Yarrowia lipolytica: one gene and its partners. Each later gene encodes a partner of the first gene's protein in a complex. Links are inferred from orthologs where the notes say so. Each region holds a gene or a part of one and is shown in the gene's direction. Other genes may lie near its edges.

Evidence for each region. Proteins that work in one complex are often made in the same cells at the same time.
Region 2: the proteins of YALI1_F37742g (region 1) and YALI1_C05820g are in contact, whole or in part, in a cryo-EM structure (PDB 7K01), measured with the Saccharomyces cerevisiae proteins. The link is inferred for Yarrowia lipolytica from reciprocal best matches to the Saccharomyces cerevisiae genes TFB2 and TFB4. Residues at the interface, in NP_015203.1 of Saccharomyces cerevisiae: Leu33, Tyr36, Arg37, Pro41, Lys44, Phe45, Met48, Ala49, Phe52, Asn53, Lys64, Trp65, Val66, Asn67, Ser68, Asn69, Gly70, Ala111, Leu112; in NP_015381.1 of Saccharomyces cerevisiae: Val59, Asn62, Ala63, Ala66, Phe67, Asn68, Met114, Arg117, Phe118, Ile245, Gln246, Ala249, Thr250, Phe253, Ile254, Leu258, Pro260, Ile261, Ile262, Lys264.
Region 3: YALI1_F37742g (region 1) and YALI1_D35398g share a complex: the UniProt entries of both Saccharomyces cerevisiae proteins name them as parts of the 7-subunit TFIIH core complex. The link is inferred for Yarrowia lipolytica from reciprocal best matches to the Saccharomyces cerevisiae genes TFB2 and SSL1.
Region 4: YALI1_F37742g (region 1) and YALI1_F27663g share a complex: the UniProt entries of both Saccharomyces cerevisiae proteins name them as parts of the 7-subunit TFIIH core complex. The link is inferred for Yarrowia lipolytica from reciprocal best matches to the Saccharomyces cerevisiae genes TFB2 and RAD3.

Annotation. Positions count from the first base shown.
Region 1 is NC_090775.1:3,772,326-3,776,168, forward strand, and holds YALI1_F37742g (uncharacterized protein), read left to right. Parts: upstream 1-1,937; coding exon 1,938-3,341; downstream 3,342-3,843. Other genes in the region: YALI1_F37734g (uncharacterized protein), read right to left, coding at 226-1,119, 1,166-1,168; YALI1_F37770g (uncharacterized protein), read right to left, coding at 3,459-3,843. UniProt on the Saccharomyces cerevisiae protein: Component of the general transcription and DNA repair factor IIH (TFIIH) core complex, which is involved in general and transcription-coupled nucleotide excision repair (NER) of damaged DNA and, when complexed to TFIIK, in RNA transcription by RNA polymerase II.
Region 2 is NC_090772.1:580,219-583,587, forward strand, and holds YALI1_C05820g (uncharacterized protein), read left to right. Parts: upstream 1-1,826; coding exon 1,827-2,849; downstream 2,850-3,369. Other genes in the region: YALI1_C05789g (uncharacterized protein), read left to right, coding at 1-159; YALI1_C05813g (uncharacterized protein), read right to left, coding at 392-1,180; YALI1_C05837g (uncharacterized protein), read right to left, coding at 3,127-3,369. UniProt on the Saccharomyces cerevisiae protein: Component of the general transcription and DNA repair factor IIH (TFIIH) core complex, which is involved in general and transcription-coupled nucleotide excision repair (NER) of damaged DNA and, when complexed to TFIIK, in RNA transcription by RNA polymerase II.
Region 3 is NC_090773.1:3,537,780-3,541,763, forward strand, and holds YALI1_D35398g (uncharacterized protein), read left to right. Parts: upstream 1-1,973; coding exon 1,974-3,464; downstream 3,465-3,984. Other genes in the region: YALI1_D35394g (uncharacterized protein), read right to left, coding at 201-1,598; YALI1_D35424g (uncharacterized protein), read right to left, coding at 3,679-3,984. UniProt on the Saccharomyces cerevisiae protein: Component of the general transcription and DNA repair factor IIH (TFIIH) core complex, which is involved in general and transcription-coupled nucleotide excision repair (NER) of damaged DNA and, when complexed to TFIIK, in RNA transcription by RNA polymerase II.
Region 4 is NC_090775.1:2,763,514-2,768,091, reverse strand, and holds YALI1_F27663g (uncharacterized protein), read left to right. Parts: upstream 1-1,700; coding exon 1,701-4,058; downstream 4,059-4,578. Other genes in the region: YALI1_F27686g (uncharacterized protein), read left to right, coding at 1-520; YALI1_F27667g (uncharacterized protein), read right to left, coding at 909-1,376; YALI1_F27574g (uncharacterized protein), read right to left, coding at 4,197-4,578. UniProt on the Saccharomyces cerevisiae protein: ATP-dependent 5'-3' DNA helicase.

The DNA of each region.
Region 1 (3,843 bases):
TTACTAGTTTAGTCGACATTATCTATTTTACTGTGTGACCTGTAGTGCAGTTATCTGGCAACTGTATGGGTAGGTGCCTCCAATTGGTGATCTCGAGACACGATCTTTACATAATTGAACATAGTAGGAGGTTTTTCTACAGTATTTATAAACATTGAAACCCGTATTCCCATTGCATGTCACTACAATTTCTCCCGACAATACTCATACATATATTCTCTATGGTTACTCCTCGACAACACCAGCGGACTCCCACTCGCCAGTGAGATTCTCCTTCCACAGAGTGACCTTGTTGTCGCCTCCAGAAACTGCCAGCACGTTGCCGGACAGAGACCAGCTAACCTTCCACACCACATCGGGGAAGGGGATGTCCTGAAGCAGCTTCTTCTTCCATGGCTGGTTGCCCTCCTGGGTCCACACAATGACGGTCTTATCCTGCGAAGCGGAAGCAATGTAAGACTTGGACAGAACAGAGGAAGACCAGGCAACGTCTCGAACCCAGTCCTTGTGGCCAGAAAGTGTCTCCTCAATCACGTAAGTCTTGGAAGAGGGGTCGTACTTCCAGATCTTGACGAGGTTGTCGCATCCTCCAGTGACAATTCGAATGTTGTTTGATGCTTTGCCGTTGATGGGCTGAATGAGCGAGCCGGACACGGCAGGGGGAGCCCAGGAGGCGGAGTTGGCGCCCACATCATGGGCGGCGAAAGTGGTGGCCTCGCAGTTACCTCCCTCCTTGAACTCGACTACGGACACGTTGCCGTCGGAAGAAGCGCATAGGAGTAGGGGCCCGTACTCCTGGGGAGCCCACACCACCGAGTTGACGGAGGCATTGTGCTGATGCTGAGCAATGTTAGTCCATCGACCGTTCTCCTCTCGCCAGATGAACACCTTGCCATCGTAGGAGGCAGAGGCAATAATAGAGCCGAACTTGGGATGGGCCCAGCTGACCTGCCAAACGGGGCCCTCGTGTCCTCGCAGCGTCTCGACGAGTTTGTGGTTGTCTCCATCAATCTCGAAGATCTTGATGGTCTTGTCAGACGAACAAGTGGCCAATCGCTTGCCGTAGTAGTCCAGGACGGCGTCGTGGATGAGGTCGTCGTGCGTGTTTCCTATGGTCACCTGGGTTAGCTGATTGCCGGATCATAGCTGTCGTTTCCATACTCACCATTCTGATGGATAGTTAGATATGTCGTGTTCTCACGTTTGAGTTCAGTGATGTGTGTGGTGGGTGTGTCCTTGCATACGGTACTCGTAACCTGTTGTAGGGACAGGAGCGACGCGGGAGGGAGGGACAGGCAATTTCAGTTGACACTCTGACTCAAACCACCATGGGATTAATGTTGGTAATTCACCACTTTCTATCATTCATTTCATCATTCCTCCTACATTGAGGTGTTGTGCAACGTGTACCTGCAAATTAAAGTTGTAAACGTAAGGGATCATCGAAGAGACGTGAGGTCGTGGAAACAAGTAAACACGTAACCACGAGGGAGTGGATGTTGATAGAGAAAGTGGTGGAGAGGTACGAAGAGGTATAAAAAAGCTCTAGGATAACGGATCAGACAAAAAAAAACAGCTCTAAATCAATAGAAGGGATGGTTCACTATGGCTTGTTGTCAGCTTGAACGAAAGTAAAGTAAAATACTTAACGGTAAACCAACCATTCGCATACTGACGCACAAATAATTTCTGTCAACCGTGAACATATTCTTTTGACCCAAGTATTTCGAATTGGAGGAGAACTAAGAGAGTGAAAGGTTTTCAAAATAAGAGAAAACCCATGGTTTTGGTGTAGCCATTCAATCACGCACTCCTGTCATATCAACCATAGCCATCTCTTACCTCACTCTCCTCCAGTATCCATTTATGTAGAACTCTAATAAGATCTTGCATGATATGACAAACTGACCATTGTTGATACGGCAATCACAGTGGATATGACGAGCCAGTTCAAAAACAGCATCAATGACTACCTGGAAGGTCTTCCGGAGGCAGTACTAACTCGGCTGTACCAGTCTCCGGCCACATGTCTGGCGGTGTTCCGACTGCTACCTGCTCTGGCAAGAACACTCATCATGGGCATGATTTTCAACCCCGATCCCATAGCAGTAGCCGACGTCGACGCTCTGGTGAAGCCTTCAAGTCAGCGACTCAAGCTCGAAACACAGAAGAAACTGCGACTGCTCCACATTTTCACAGAGACCCAGGCCCATATCATCATTAATCCGACATTCAAAAAGAACCTGAGGGCAGCTCTGGTAGGAGGAGACCAGAACATTTCGTTTGGAGTGCCCTGCGACACGGAAGACAAACACAAGGTGGATGTGGCGTTTTTGGATGCTCACGCTGTCTCTCAATGGGAGATGATCTTACATTTTATGGTCGGAACGTCGATTGGAAGAACACCCAGTGATGGAGTGCTCAACCTGCTGAAGCACAGTGGACTTATGGAACCCGAACGGGGAGGACTGAGAATCACCAATGCAGGATTCCAGTTCTTGCTACAGGATGTAAATGCTCAGATTTGGACACTGTTGCTCCAGTATCTCAACATGTCCGAGTATCTGCAGATGGATCCTGTAGACGTGCTCAACTTCATTTTCATGCTAGGTTCTCTCGAGCTAGGCCAGGACTACTCGCTCAGTGCACTCTCCGAGACACAGAAACACATGCTGGAGGATCTGCGGGATTACGGTATCGTCTACCAGCGAAAAGCATCGTCTAGACGATTCTATCCTACGCGACTGGCTACTACTCTGACATCAGAAACGGCTGCACTTAGAACAGCCAGTCAGAGCATGGAAGCAGCTACACAAGACACAATTTCGTCTTCTGTTGCTGCCGACTCTGGATTTATCATTCTGGAAACTAATTTCAGACTCTACGCCTACACAGAGTCTCCACTACAGATCGCAGTACTGAACCTTTTTGTCAATCTTAAGACACGATTTGCAAACATGGTTACCGGTCAGATCAACCGAGACTCGGTTCGATTTGCGCTCTCAAACGGTATTACTGCCGAACAAATCATCACATATCTCTCTGTTCATGCACACCCACGTATGAAGGGGATGGAACACGTTCTTCCCCCTACTGTGGTGGATCAGATCAAACTGTGGCAACTTGAGATGGACAGAATCCGAGCCACCGACGGTTACTTGTTCTCCGAGTTCAAAAACTTTGACGAGTACAAGGATGTCTCCACTTATGCCAAGGAGCTGGGCGTTCTCTTGTATGAGAATCCTGGAAAGCGAAAGTTCGTGTCTACGCTTGCTGGTTCTCAGCAGATTGTTGAGTTTGTCAAACGACGAAATCAAAAGCACCGTAGCTCCGCAAACTGACCAACTAGAAATTGACCATCAAAACCATAGCATATAATAGATCGCACTAATAAAACAAGCGATGTCAACGTTGAAGTTATTCAATCCATACTATATACTGCCCAGACATTTCCTTCATTAAAGCCCATAAGCGGAGGAAAAAGCACTGTCAATATAGACAGTGACAGCATCGCTGGACCCGTCGGGGCTGAGTCGCTCGGACTTTGCCAAGTCTCGCACTAGCTCGTCCAGTTTGGTAGATTCACCCTCAAGCTCAGCGACAGAGCTGTTCATGAGGAAGCCGGTGACAAGGTCGTCGACGCCGGCAGCAAGCTTATAAATACGGGAGTTGACACTTACAAGTCTGTCCTTGGAAGTGGCATCAGCATCAGCCTTGCATAGAGACGAGTATCGTGATGCCAGAGCCTGAACGAGCTTGAATAGGGTAATGAGCTTTGCATGCCACTTCTCAGCCAAAGCAACAATTTCGTCGCTTCGGGAAGTAGGGGCAGCGGGAGCAGCA
Region 2 (3,369 bases), on another chromosome or scaffold:
CCACTCTTCAAACGGGGATGTTGGATCAACATGGGGTTCATGATCGCTTCGGTATTTGGTACTCTGGGTATTGTCTTCTTTCTGAAACGACGACGCATCAGTGGAACAAATCATGCGACCATCAGTGAGACCCAGAAGGAGTTTGTGTATATGCTGTAAAGAAGTATTCGAGCATTTTATTTATCCAGGAGTAACGGCTAATGATCTGATAATAGTACAGTATGTACTGTAGATATATACGTAGTAAGTTCGCACTTCGGTGTTGAATTCATATCACACGCAACACACTGAAACTCGTTACAACTCACTCCAACCATATCTACGCCCTATTCCTGGCTATCCTATAATACATGCATGCAATAAACTATCTACCAGTACGGTCCAACGTGTCCTACTCCTTCTTGGTTCGCTTGGCCTTGGCTCGAGCTCGCTCCTTGTCCAGGTTCTTCTTTCGTTCAGTGGAAGACAGGTATCGGAACTTCTTCTTGGTCTTCTTGACCAGCTTCTTGACCTTGGGCTCAGCCATGCCGGAGTAGACAGCGGCCAGACCAGCCTTGTCCAAGCTTTCCTTCAAGACCTCGTCAGCCTTGGACATGTCCACATATGTGTTGTTCTGGTCCTCATCATCGGAATCAAGGGACACGGCCTCAATGGTCACCGTGGTTTTCTTTCCCTGACCGTCCACGTACTTCTTCTTTTGCTTCTTGAGCACTCCGGGCTTATCGATACCCTCCCAGTCGGAGAAGTCGTCTTCATCAGTGCTAGACGACTTTTTCGACTTCTTTAAAGTCTTCTCTTCGTCCTCCTCTTCGTCCTCCTCTTCATCCTCAGACTCGTCGCCAGAATCAGAATCCTTCTCGTCGTCAGTGCTGAAATAGCCCGATCGAGCTCTCTCGATATCCTTCATGGCCTTCTGCATTCGAGCTCGCTCCTTTTCCTGGTCACCTTTTCTTTCGTCTCGCAATTTTTTCCGCTCGGCGATCCGGTCCAGCCGCGCCTGCTCCTTGGCCTTCTCTTGCGCCTTTTCCTTTCGTTGCAGCTTTCGCTTTCGGAAGCCCGTCAGGTACTCCTTCCGGTTGGCGGCGTCGTAGGAGACCTCATCCACGCCAAACTGGCTAGTTTTTTTCTTGGCGTATGACCGGTCGCCCTGCGTCAAGATCTGTCTGTTGGTGGCGGCCATTTTGGGGAGTGTCTTGGGGTATATAGGGGTCAGGCCAAAACTCGAAAATGAGGTGAACGCTTAAATGAAAAATATCAGTGGAGGTTTAGACCTGCATGAGACTCGAACTCTGTTATGAGGAAGGCACTACTTGTAGACGGGGTGTATGAAATGAAAAGAAGAATGAGGAAGCGGAAGTGGAAGCCGGGACATTCTGAGCACTTTGGACCATGGATTGAAGATCCGGGCCGAGTTTCGAACCGATCAGTGATGCATAACAGCTTCAAATACGAACCCTGAGTGTGATAGAGCGACATGTTACAATTGTATGGGCAGTGGCGTGAGTTCGATTCACTCTACTGGCACGATATTGTAGGGAGGTAAGTTCAGGCTGGCTGACCACTGAAATATGACATGACTAAGCTTTGATGGAGACCGAGAAGAAAGGAACTGGATAAGTAATCCCACTCACAGTACAGTATCAACTAATTATATCACATGATCACATCAATATGTACCCACCCCTATACACGTGTAAAAAGAACTGTACACTCGTACAAGTACAAGACAGGATTGTACTGGTACTTTCGCAGCTCATTCAAATCAGCAAACTCAAATCCTCTATCTAACATCTACTTTTCAGACACCGAAGCCTTCCTCCACCACCATGAACGCCATTGATGGAACGTCCCGCCAGCTCAAGGACACGGAGGATCAGACTCTGGACGACACGCCGTCGTTGTTGTCGATCATCATTGACGCCCATGTGCCGTCGTGGGAAGAAATCAAGTCGCAAATATCCATCTCGGAGGCTGTGGCTTCCATTCTCGTCTTCATCAACGCCCACTTGGCTCTGCACAACTCCAACAGCGTTAATGTGATTGGATACAACGCCAGTGGTGCTCGAATTTTGTATCCTCCTAAAAGCGGCGTTGAATCGACTAGATCAAAGGAGAGAGAAGAGAGATCGGAGAGTGTAAGCGATGGAGAACAGGCACCCAGCAAGAAGGACCACTCCATGTACAGACAATTCAAGACGGTGGACGAGGTTGTGCAGACGGAGCTGTGGAACATGCTGAACCACACCAACTACGTGGAGGAGGAGAAACAACACAACTCGGCCATCTCCGGAGCACTGAGTCTAGCTCTAGGGTTCATAAACAAACATGTGTTTGTGGACGAGTCGAGAATGCGAGCAAGGATCCTGCTGCTCACCGTCGGACACAAAAACGAAACCATCCAATACATCCCTACTATGAACTGCATTTTCGCCGCCCAAAAGCTCAAGATCCCCGTCGATGTGTGCAAACTGGGTCCTGGATCCGACCAGGTCTTTCTGCAACAAGCATGCGACTCGACACACGGCATCTACATGGATATCAGTGAAAAGAACTCCAAAACACCCAAGGGTTTGGTTCAGTATCTGCTATCGGGCTTTATCTCAGACCCCAGTTTACGACCCCATATTGTGCTGCCCACCCAGTCCAATGTGGACTTTCGAGCAGCATGTTTCCTGACTAAACAGGTGGTGGATATTGGCTATGTCTGCTCTGTCTGTCTGTGTATCATGAGCCAGATTCCCAGCAACAGAAGATGTCCTACATGCGATACTACCTACTCTGAGAAGACTTTGGCTGGTTTGGGTCGAAAACCTCTCAAGAAGAAGAAAAAGAAGGTCGTTAAGCCATAGTTGCTATTAGACCGATCCCTAACATGAACCAGTGCGGTTCATATAGCATAGATGTAAACATAATGCAATGTATTTGTATAACCCTTGATGAATGGTTAGTGTATGTGGCCAGAATCGGCAGTTGAATGTGTATACATGTAAAGTTATTGGCGCTGTGTCGATCTCGTCGTCTCTACAGCACTGCTTGCGATATCCCCCTCAGACGTGCCCATTGTGAGTTTGGAAACCAAAAACTCACAACCACCCGTCTAGCCCTGAGTTGCTCATCCTCGACTCATCACTGCTTCAAAAGCGAAACCTCACCCTCCTTCAGTCCTTTTGTCACCAGTCCAAACCTGAAGTTCTTCGGATACCCATGCTTGTCAACCAGATGCATCCTCCTCTTCCTGTACTCTGCAAACCGTTTATCACAGCCCTCCTCAAAACATGCAAGATATTTGTCGCCGCGGTCACGTGATATCGCTACGAACGGGTCGTGTTCTTCGTCCAGATGCAGATTCAGAAATTTTTCGCTCGGAAA
Region 3 (3,984 bases), on another chromosome or scaffold:
GTACAAGTACATACAGTACAGTATGTACTTGTGATGCTACCCGTCGATCTTGACCTATTCTAGCTGACAGCATTTAGATTGTTTCACACCCCGGAAAATTACTAAACATACATTATCCTAACTAATACAGGTCCTGGCAGCCCGTGCCAGGAGTCACGCCATGGCGTCTCCCCCAAATATCACCGTTCTATCTCACCCATCTACCGCTTAGCCCGTCGGGTCTTGGGACCAGAAGGTAGACGTCCGACGGAAGAAATGGGCTTTGGAGGTTCAGGGGCCGGCAAAACACCCAGATAGTTTGTTTTGAGAGCAGGGATGTTAGTGGAAGGCTTGATCTTGGAGTTAGCAATGTCGATGCCCTCGGTGGATTGCAGCAGCCGTCCCAACACACCCTCGATTTTCATTGCAAGCCGTCGCTCCTCAAACGACACTGGTGGAGGTATGTCAGGTGTGGCCAAACGGTCTGCCTGGAGTTGTTGCAGTTGGAGCATGAGTCTGCTGACAAACTCGAGCTCGGTGCCAGTTTTGATGGCTTCGAACTCGTCGTCGTCAATGAAGTTTCGAGGGTGCCATTGGAGAATGTCTTCCATGGGCAGATCCTTGGAGGGGTCGACATCTTCATCTCTAAACAGAGGCTGGAGGTCTTCCTCTTCCTCTCCCTGTCCCCCCTTCTCCTCTTCCTCTTCCTGTCCCTCCACCTTAGCCTCAGTCGCGTCATTCATCTCCACGTCGTTAGTATCCTCCTTTTTGGTGTCGTTCTTTCCAAGAGCGTCGTCGATGGCGCTTTCTCGCAGTCGCCCAACCTTCTCGTACCACAGAGCTCCGGTTGAAGCGGGGTCGTAGACGGCCTTACCACTGTCGCTAGTGGGGGCAAAGGACGAGTTTGCGTCCATCCGCAGGAACCGGCTGGGCGCCAACTCGGAGCCGTTGGGGTGCACAAAGTGCGTCATCATCTCTGTCGGAGGCAGGGCTGGGTGTGGAAGTCGCGACACGGCAGGTGTGAGGTAGCCCAGTTGGTAGGCCGGAACCGACCGGGTACGTGGCAGTACGTTGGTTACCTGGAACGCGCCCGGGGTTATACTTGGGCGCGGGTCGATGGCCGATTTGGTGGACAACGTCGAAAACAGAGGTCCATTCTGGCCCATGACCAGAAACGATTCTGCGCTCCACGACTCCAAGTCCGCAGTCAAGTCGGCGTAGTCGGCCACGATTTCCTCCTCGAACTCCGTCACGTCCTCGGGTACCACATCCTCGGGGTCCTTGCCTCCAAACAGGTCCATCCGCGAGCCTTCTCGGATGATGAGGGCTGCGGCAAACTTGAAGAACCGGTCCACCTCCAGATACTTCTCCGAGCCAATTGGCAGCGCCACCAGAGCCTGGACGGCTGCGGTCTTGACGTCCACGTACAAGTTGCGCACCGAATCATACGCCTTCTCGGATACCGAGGTCAGATCAGCAACGTTGTGTTGGGCATAGCTTGCAAGCACCGACAGGTTTGTGGACTGAGGCGACACCTGGGGCACTGCCTTTGTGGAGAGCACAGTCTTTCCGACGGCGTCGGCTAGCAACACGTCCAAAATGTCTTGTATGAGCGACATGTTGTCTTTGTGTTGGTGTCTGGGTTCGATGAGATGTGTGGTGATTTTTGTTCGACGTGATGAACGTTCCGACGTGTGGGTGTTGACTAGAGTATGACAGAAACCATACTCCAAAAATTAGCTTCGTCATGTGACCCAGCCAAGAGACAGCGGTGTATGAGATGGCGGAGAAGAAGTGGAGTGGCTATATTAATTTCTGTAAATTTGTTTCGACGGCGAATAATCCACTTAGAATTGCTTTCAAATCTTTAAACCTATTCTAATGCCGCCTTGTATCGACGTCCTGCTTCTTCCGTTGTATGGCAAGCATGCATACAACACTCATCTCTTCATACTCTTATCTAGTACGGGTACGAGTACACATCTCAGCACACCATGGACGACTCGGACGACGACTACATTGAAAACATTAGTGGAGACGAGTACCAGGGTGCCCCTCGGCGGTCGCGACGAAACCAGGCCCCCAAGGGCGCCGGAGGCTCGGTGGAGAACATGAAGATGGCCAATGGAGGATACTCATGGGAAGACGAATACCATAGATCTTGGGACGTCGTGCAAGAGGACGAGGGAGGATCGCTGGCAGGCTCGGTGGCGGGTCTTGTGGAAGCAAGAAAGAAACGACACATCAAGGATGCAACTCCGTTCCAGAGAGGTATCATTCGAAACCTGATTTTGGTGCTCGACTTTTCGTTTGCCATGAAAGAGTCCGATCTCAGACCAAACAGGTACCAATTTGTCATTAACCATGCCATTGAATTCGTAACCAACTTCTTCGACCAGAATCCCATTTCTCAGCTCGGAATTCTGGGCATGAGAAACGGACAGGCAATCAGCATATCGACATTGGGCAGTAACCCCAACGACCACATTAACGCCCTGACGGCAGCCAAAAAGCTCGAGCCTCAAGGTGATCCATCTCTTCAAAATGCTCTTGAAATGGCTCGAGGTCTGCTTTTCCATGTGCCTTCTCATTGCACTAAGGAGGTACTGGTTGTTCTGGGTGCCTTGTTGTCGGCTGACCCAGGAGATATCCACGTAACCATCGACAAGCTCGTTATTGACAAGGTCCGAGCCCGAGTCATTGGTCTGGCGGCGCAGGTGGCGATCTGCAAGGAACTGTGTGTCAAAACCAACTTTGGAGACGCTTCATACTATGGTGTCGTGCTGAACGAACAGCATTTCCAGGAGCTCATGGACGAGGCTACTACACCCTTGGCAGAGTCACAACAAAGCCAGAGCGCCAATCCAGCATCCCTGGTGCTCATGGGATTTCCTTCAAAGGTTTCAGAAGCAGCTCCCTCTCTTTCGGCCTCCGATGCAGCTCTCACACAAGGTGGATACGTCTGTCCGCAATGTAAGGTCAAGGTGTCTTCACTCCCCACAGTCTGCCCCTGCTGTGGTCTCACACTTATTCTGTCCACCCATCTGGCCAGATCGTATCACCATCTTTTCCCCCTGGCTCCATTTATTGAAGTCCCCTGCAAGAACGCACACAAGTCTGAATTCTGTGCAGGCTGTCAATCCAAGTTCCCAGTGGTGGCAAGAGATGCAAAAAACATCCAAGCCGATGGCTCCATGACGTCACGGTATGAGTGTCCCACCTGCCACTCTCATTTTTGCATCGACTGTGACGTCTTCTGCCACGAAATTCTACACAACTGCATTGGCTGCCAGGCACGCAGCTACTCTCTCTACCAGGTGGTGGTCACCAAACACAAGGATGCAGCTCCTTCTCTTAAGCTGGTGATGAAGCGGCCCGATCCAGACGGAGAGGAGAGCTCTAGACCAGTCAAGGTGAGGGTAGTTAATGATAACGAGGGTCCAGCTTGGAATGAAGGAGGACAAGCTCCTACCTGGGGGGAGTAATTACAAATGAACAAGGCTATAAATCACTGGGTGCCTTCTCTTTCGGGCACATGTATACAATACCAATACGACATAGATACATAATTCATTTGAATCGACACAAACGTATTTATTTTACCGCACAGTGTATGTACACTCTACACTACAATAATTACAGTAACAAAAACCACGTGTGTTAAAATGCTTAATAAATCATCACGATACGTAAGTAAAGCTAAACGAGAATCTCAAAATCGTCGTCCGTGTCGCCATCCCACTTTTTGGCTCGCTGGGGCATAAAGTCGCGAGCCTCGCCTCGTCGCCGTCGTAGCGACTTTTTCGCTGGCCGGTCCATCAAGAGACCCTGAGCCTTGAGACTGGCAGTAAGCTGGGTGCCCTGAAACACAGTGGCCAGGAAAGCAGCAGTAAGAGCCTGCGACTCTTGAAGACTGTCCTTGAGCTCGCTATTAGAAGATGCACTGAGCTGCGACAGAATCGATCGCAACGACCGCAGCAGGCGCTGGTCTGGGACAATCGAGCC
Region 4 (4,578 bases), about 1.0 Mb from region 1:
CAAGGCAGGAGCTGACTGTGTGGCACCCTCGGACATGATTGACGGTCGAATCCACGACATCAAAAAGGGCTTGCTCAAGGCCGGTCTTGCCCACAACGTCATGGTTATGAGCTACACTAAGTTCTCCGGAAACCTGTACGGACCTTTCCGAGAGGCTGCCTGCTCTGCTCCCAGCCACGGAGACCGAAAGCGATACCAGCTCCCCGCTGGCGGTCGAGGTCTCGCTCGACGAGCTCTTGCTCGAGACCTGGCCGAAGGTGCCGATGCCGTCATTGTCAAGCCTTCCACCTTTTACCTGGATATCGTGGTGGACGCTGCTGAGATCTGCAAGGACGTGCCTATTGCTACCTACCAGGTTTCCGGAGAGTACGCCATGATCCACGCAGCTGCCGAGAAGGGCGTTGTTGATCTGGAGGTGATGGCCTTCGAGGCGGCCTACGGTAACCTGCGAGCCGGAGCCAACCTCCTTATCTCTTACTTTACCCCCGACTTTCTCGAGTGGTTGGACCACCACCACTAAGGTGACACTACTAAGACGACAAGGCCCGATGACGAAGTAATGAGACCATGCCCCTAGAGTATCTAGATAATTATTGATGAAGAAACGAGAAGATATATTACAGCAGCAACGCCCTCCACTCGTGGATCCAACTACAATACAGAAAAAAGCACAAGTACAGTCCTTAATAGTGTATGAAGTATCTACAGTACCGGTACTTGTACATACTGTAGCGTCTGACATTGAAGGAGGTACTGCTGCACTCGGACAATCCCACTACGAACAACAAATCGAATAGGTAACATTCTATACATAATTTAGTCCGACTATCCTAACCATCGGACCCTACTGTCAAGATTAGTTGACACCCTCTTCCTTCCTTTCTCATGCTAGTGTACATTATAAATAACTAATCCTCGAGCTTCTTGACGTCCTTGACAATCTCGTCAAAGTTCTCCTTGTACTCGACCTTGGTGTCGGCCTTTTTACTCTTGCCTCCGCCGGGAACAATCATGACGGTGGAAGTGGGTCGCTTAGTAGCACCGGCAGCTCCGAGATCCTCCTTGGAGGGGATGAAGAGGTAAGGAACACCGTTGTCCTCACAGAGAACGGGAATGTGAGAGACGACATCCATGGGAGAAATGTCTCCAGCGATGATGACAAGACCCTTCTCGCCCTTTCGGAGAGCCTTGACAACCTCCTTGACACCTCGCTTAACGTGCTTGGCCTTGGAAGCCTTCTTCACGGTCTTGAGCACCTTCTTGTTGAGCTTCTTGGGGGCAAGAGGCTTGGCGAAGGGCAGCAGAGCCTCCATTCGAGCGTCGTAGTTGTCGACCTCGTCAATCTCAACGGTGATATCTCCCTTGTCTTTGCCCATTGTTGTAGTGTGATGTGTGAGACTGCAGGATGAAAAAAAAATTTAGCTACAGCGCTTGAAAAAACTTATTAGGGTTCAGAGGTTATGAGCATCCAGGAATACATGCACACAAGATCAGAATTAAAAAGTAAACAGATAGACAGCTTACGGACATGATTACTATTAATGATACCATTATTGGGTTATGAGCCGTTTACACACTCCTGATAAATTTTTCAGATCCCCAGCTCCTCCCAAAACAATCTACCCTAACCACGACGCCATGCATTACACAACCTTGATATATCAGTAGCACCATTCGTTGCGACAGATCAACCACCAGAGATGAAGTTCTACATCGATGATCTGCCGGTGTTGTGGCCATACCCTCGGATCTATCCCGAGCAGTATGCCTACATGTGCGACATCAAGAAAACCCTGGACGTGGGAGGCAACTGCATCTTGGAAATGCCTTCAGGAACAGGCAAGACTGTCTCCCTGTTGTCTCTGACAGTGGCGTACCAGCAACACTATCCCGAGCATCGAAAGATCATTTATTGTTCCCGAACAATGTCGGAGATCGAGAAGGCTCTGGCTGAGTTGAAGAACCTCATGAAGTTTCGAACTGAGACTCTAGGCTTTGAGGAGGACTTTAGAGGGCTGGGTCTGACCTCACGAAAGAACCTGTGTCTGAATCCCAATGTGCGATACGAAAAGAAAGGTTACATTGTCGACGAGAAGTGCCGAGCCATGACATCTGGAATTGCCAAGCAGAAGCTGGCTGCAGGAGAAGACGTTACTCTATGTGAATACCACGAGAACATGAACGACATTGAGCCTCACAACTACATTCCACCTGGTGTTTTCACCTTTGAGGACATTTTGGCGTATGGCGAGGAGCACAAGACATGTCCTTATTTTACTGTGCGTCGAATGATGGCCTTCTGCAACGTCATCATCTACTCTTATCATTATCTACTCGATCCCAAGATCGCCGACCGAGTTTCCAAGGAGCTGAGCAAAGACTGCATTGTCATTTTTGATGAGGCCCATAATATCGACAACGTCTGCATTGAGGCTCTGTCTGTCGACATTACTGAAGACTCCTTGAAACGAGCCACTCGGGGAGCAAACCATCTGGCCAAGAAGGTCAGTGAGGCCCGATCCAGCGACTCTGAGAAATTGAAAAATGAATACAACAAACTGGTGGATGGATTGCGAGATCTGGAATCCGGAGAACAAGAAGATACGTTTCTCGCTAACCCTGTGCTCCCTGAAGATCTTATTTCGGAAGCTGTGCCTGGAAACATTCGAAAGGCAGAACATTTCGTGGCCTTCTTGAAACGATTCATTGAATATCTCAAGAGTCGAATGAAGGTGCTTCATGTCATTTCCGAAACCCCTGCATCGTTCTTGAAACATCTTCGAGATTTGACATACATTGAACGAAAGCCTCTTCGATTCTGCGCTGAGCGTCTATCGTATCTGGTCAGAACCCTCGAGTTGACTCACGTCGATGATTACACTGCTCTCAAGGAGATTGCTGTGTTCGCCACCTTGGTGTCTACCTACGACACCGGCTTCCAGCTCATTCTGGAGCCCTTTGAGACCGATCAGGCCACCGTTCCTAACCCCATTTTGCATCTTACATGTTTGGACGCCTCCATTGCTATCAAGCCTGTCTTTGATCGGTTCTCAAGCATCATCATCACATCCGGTACCATCTCCCCTCTAGATATGTACCCGAAAATGTTGAACTTCGAGACTGTGGTTCAGGAGTCGTACACCATGACACTGGCACGGCGAGCCTTCTGTCCTCTCATTGTGACCAAGGGTTCAGACCAGGTAGCCATCAGTTCTCGATTCGAGATCCGAAACGATCCTTCAGTTGTCCGAAACTACGGTAACCTTCTGATTGAATTTTCTAAGATCACACCTGATGGCCTTGTCGTCTTCTTCCCTTCATATCTTTACATGGAGTCTATCATTTCCATGTGGCAGACTATGGGTATTCTGGACGAAGTGTGGAAGTACAAACTCATTCTGGTCGAGACTCCTGATGCTCAGGAAACCTCTCTTGCCTTAGAAACTTACCGAACTGCCTGCTCCAACGGTCGAGGCGCTGTCATGCTCTGTGTCGCTCGAGGAAAGGTTTCGGAAGGTATCGATTTCGACCACCAGTTTGGAAGAACTGTGCTTATGATTGGTGTTCCTTTTCAGTACACCGAGTCGCGTATCTTGAAGGCTCGTCTCGAGTTTTTGCGAGATAACTACCACATTCGAGAGAACGACTTCTTGTCTTTCGATGCCATGCGCCATGCTGCCCAGTGTCTGGGACGAGTCTTGCGAGGTAAAGATGACTACGGTGTCATGGTGTTGGCTGACAGACGTTTTGCCAAGAAGCGAAACCAGCTGCCCAAATGGATCAACCAGGCCATTTTGGATGCTGACACAAATCTGTCCACAGATATGGCTCTAGCTGCAGCCAAGAAGTTTTTGCGAACTATGGCCCAGCCTATGAACAAGGAAGACCAGGAGGGTGTTTCAGTGTGGTCATTGGAGCAGCTTCAGGAGTACCAGGGATCCAAAAAGGATGGAGGTTACCGACTTGCCCCCGAGGATGCCATGGATATCGATGAAAAGGATCTTGAAGAGGGTCTCAGAGAAGTCGAACAAGCCAAAAAAGAAATTGCTGCTCGATAACAACGGTACGTACAGATATCCGTAGCAGCATATAATATAACAAGCATTATTTAATTAAAACACAAGAGCAGTCCACAGGCACAGTCAATGCAAGGTTATACAATACAATAATAATATACATAATTTATGATCATCCTCTTACTCCTCCATTTCAACCTCTTCCGCTTCCTCACCCTCAGCCACAGTCACTGTGAACTTCTTCTCGGCATCCGCATCAACATACGAGTCGCAAATGCACCAAACGTGACCACTGACCTCTCCATGCTCGGGGAACGAGACATCGATGTTGAAAGTCTGGGACTCGAGAGGCAAGGTGACTCGCTTGATACCAAAAATCTGCTTTGTCTTGGTATTTCCAACCACGATCCACCAGTTCTCCGTCTTGGGCTGGGGGAACAGGGGAGCAACCACCTCCAGATTAGCACGCTCATCCTCCTCGTACACATCTCTCTCCACAGTGACCTCGATGGTTCCGACATCGTTAGTAGCGTAAGAGTCAGCAAGCTCATAGCTGAGCTGA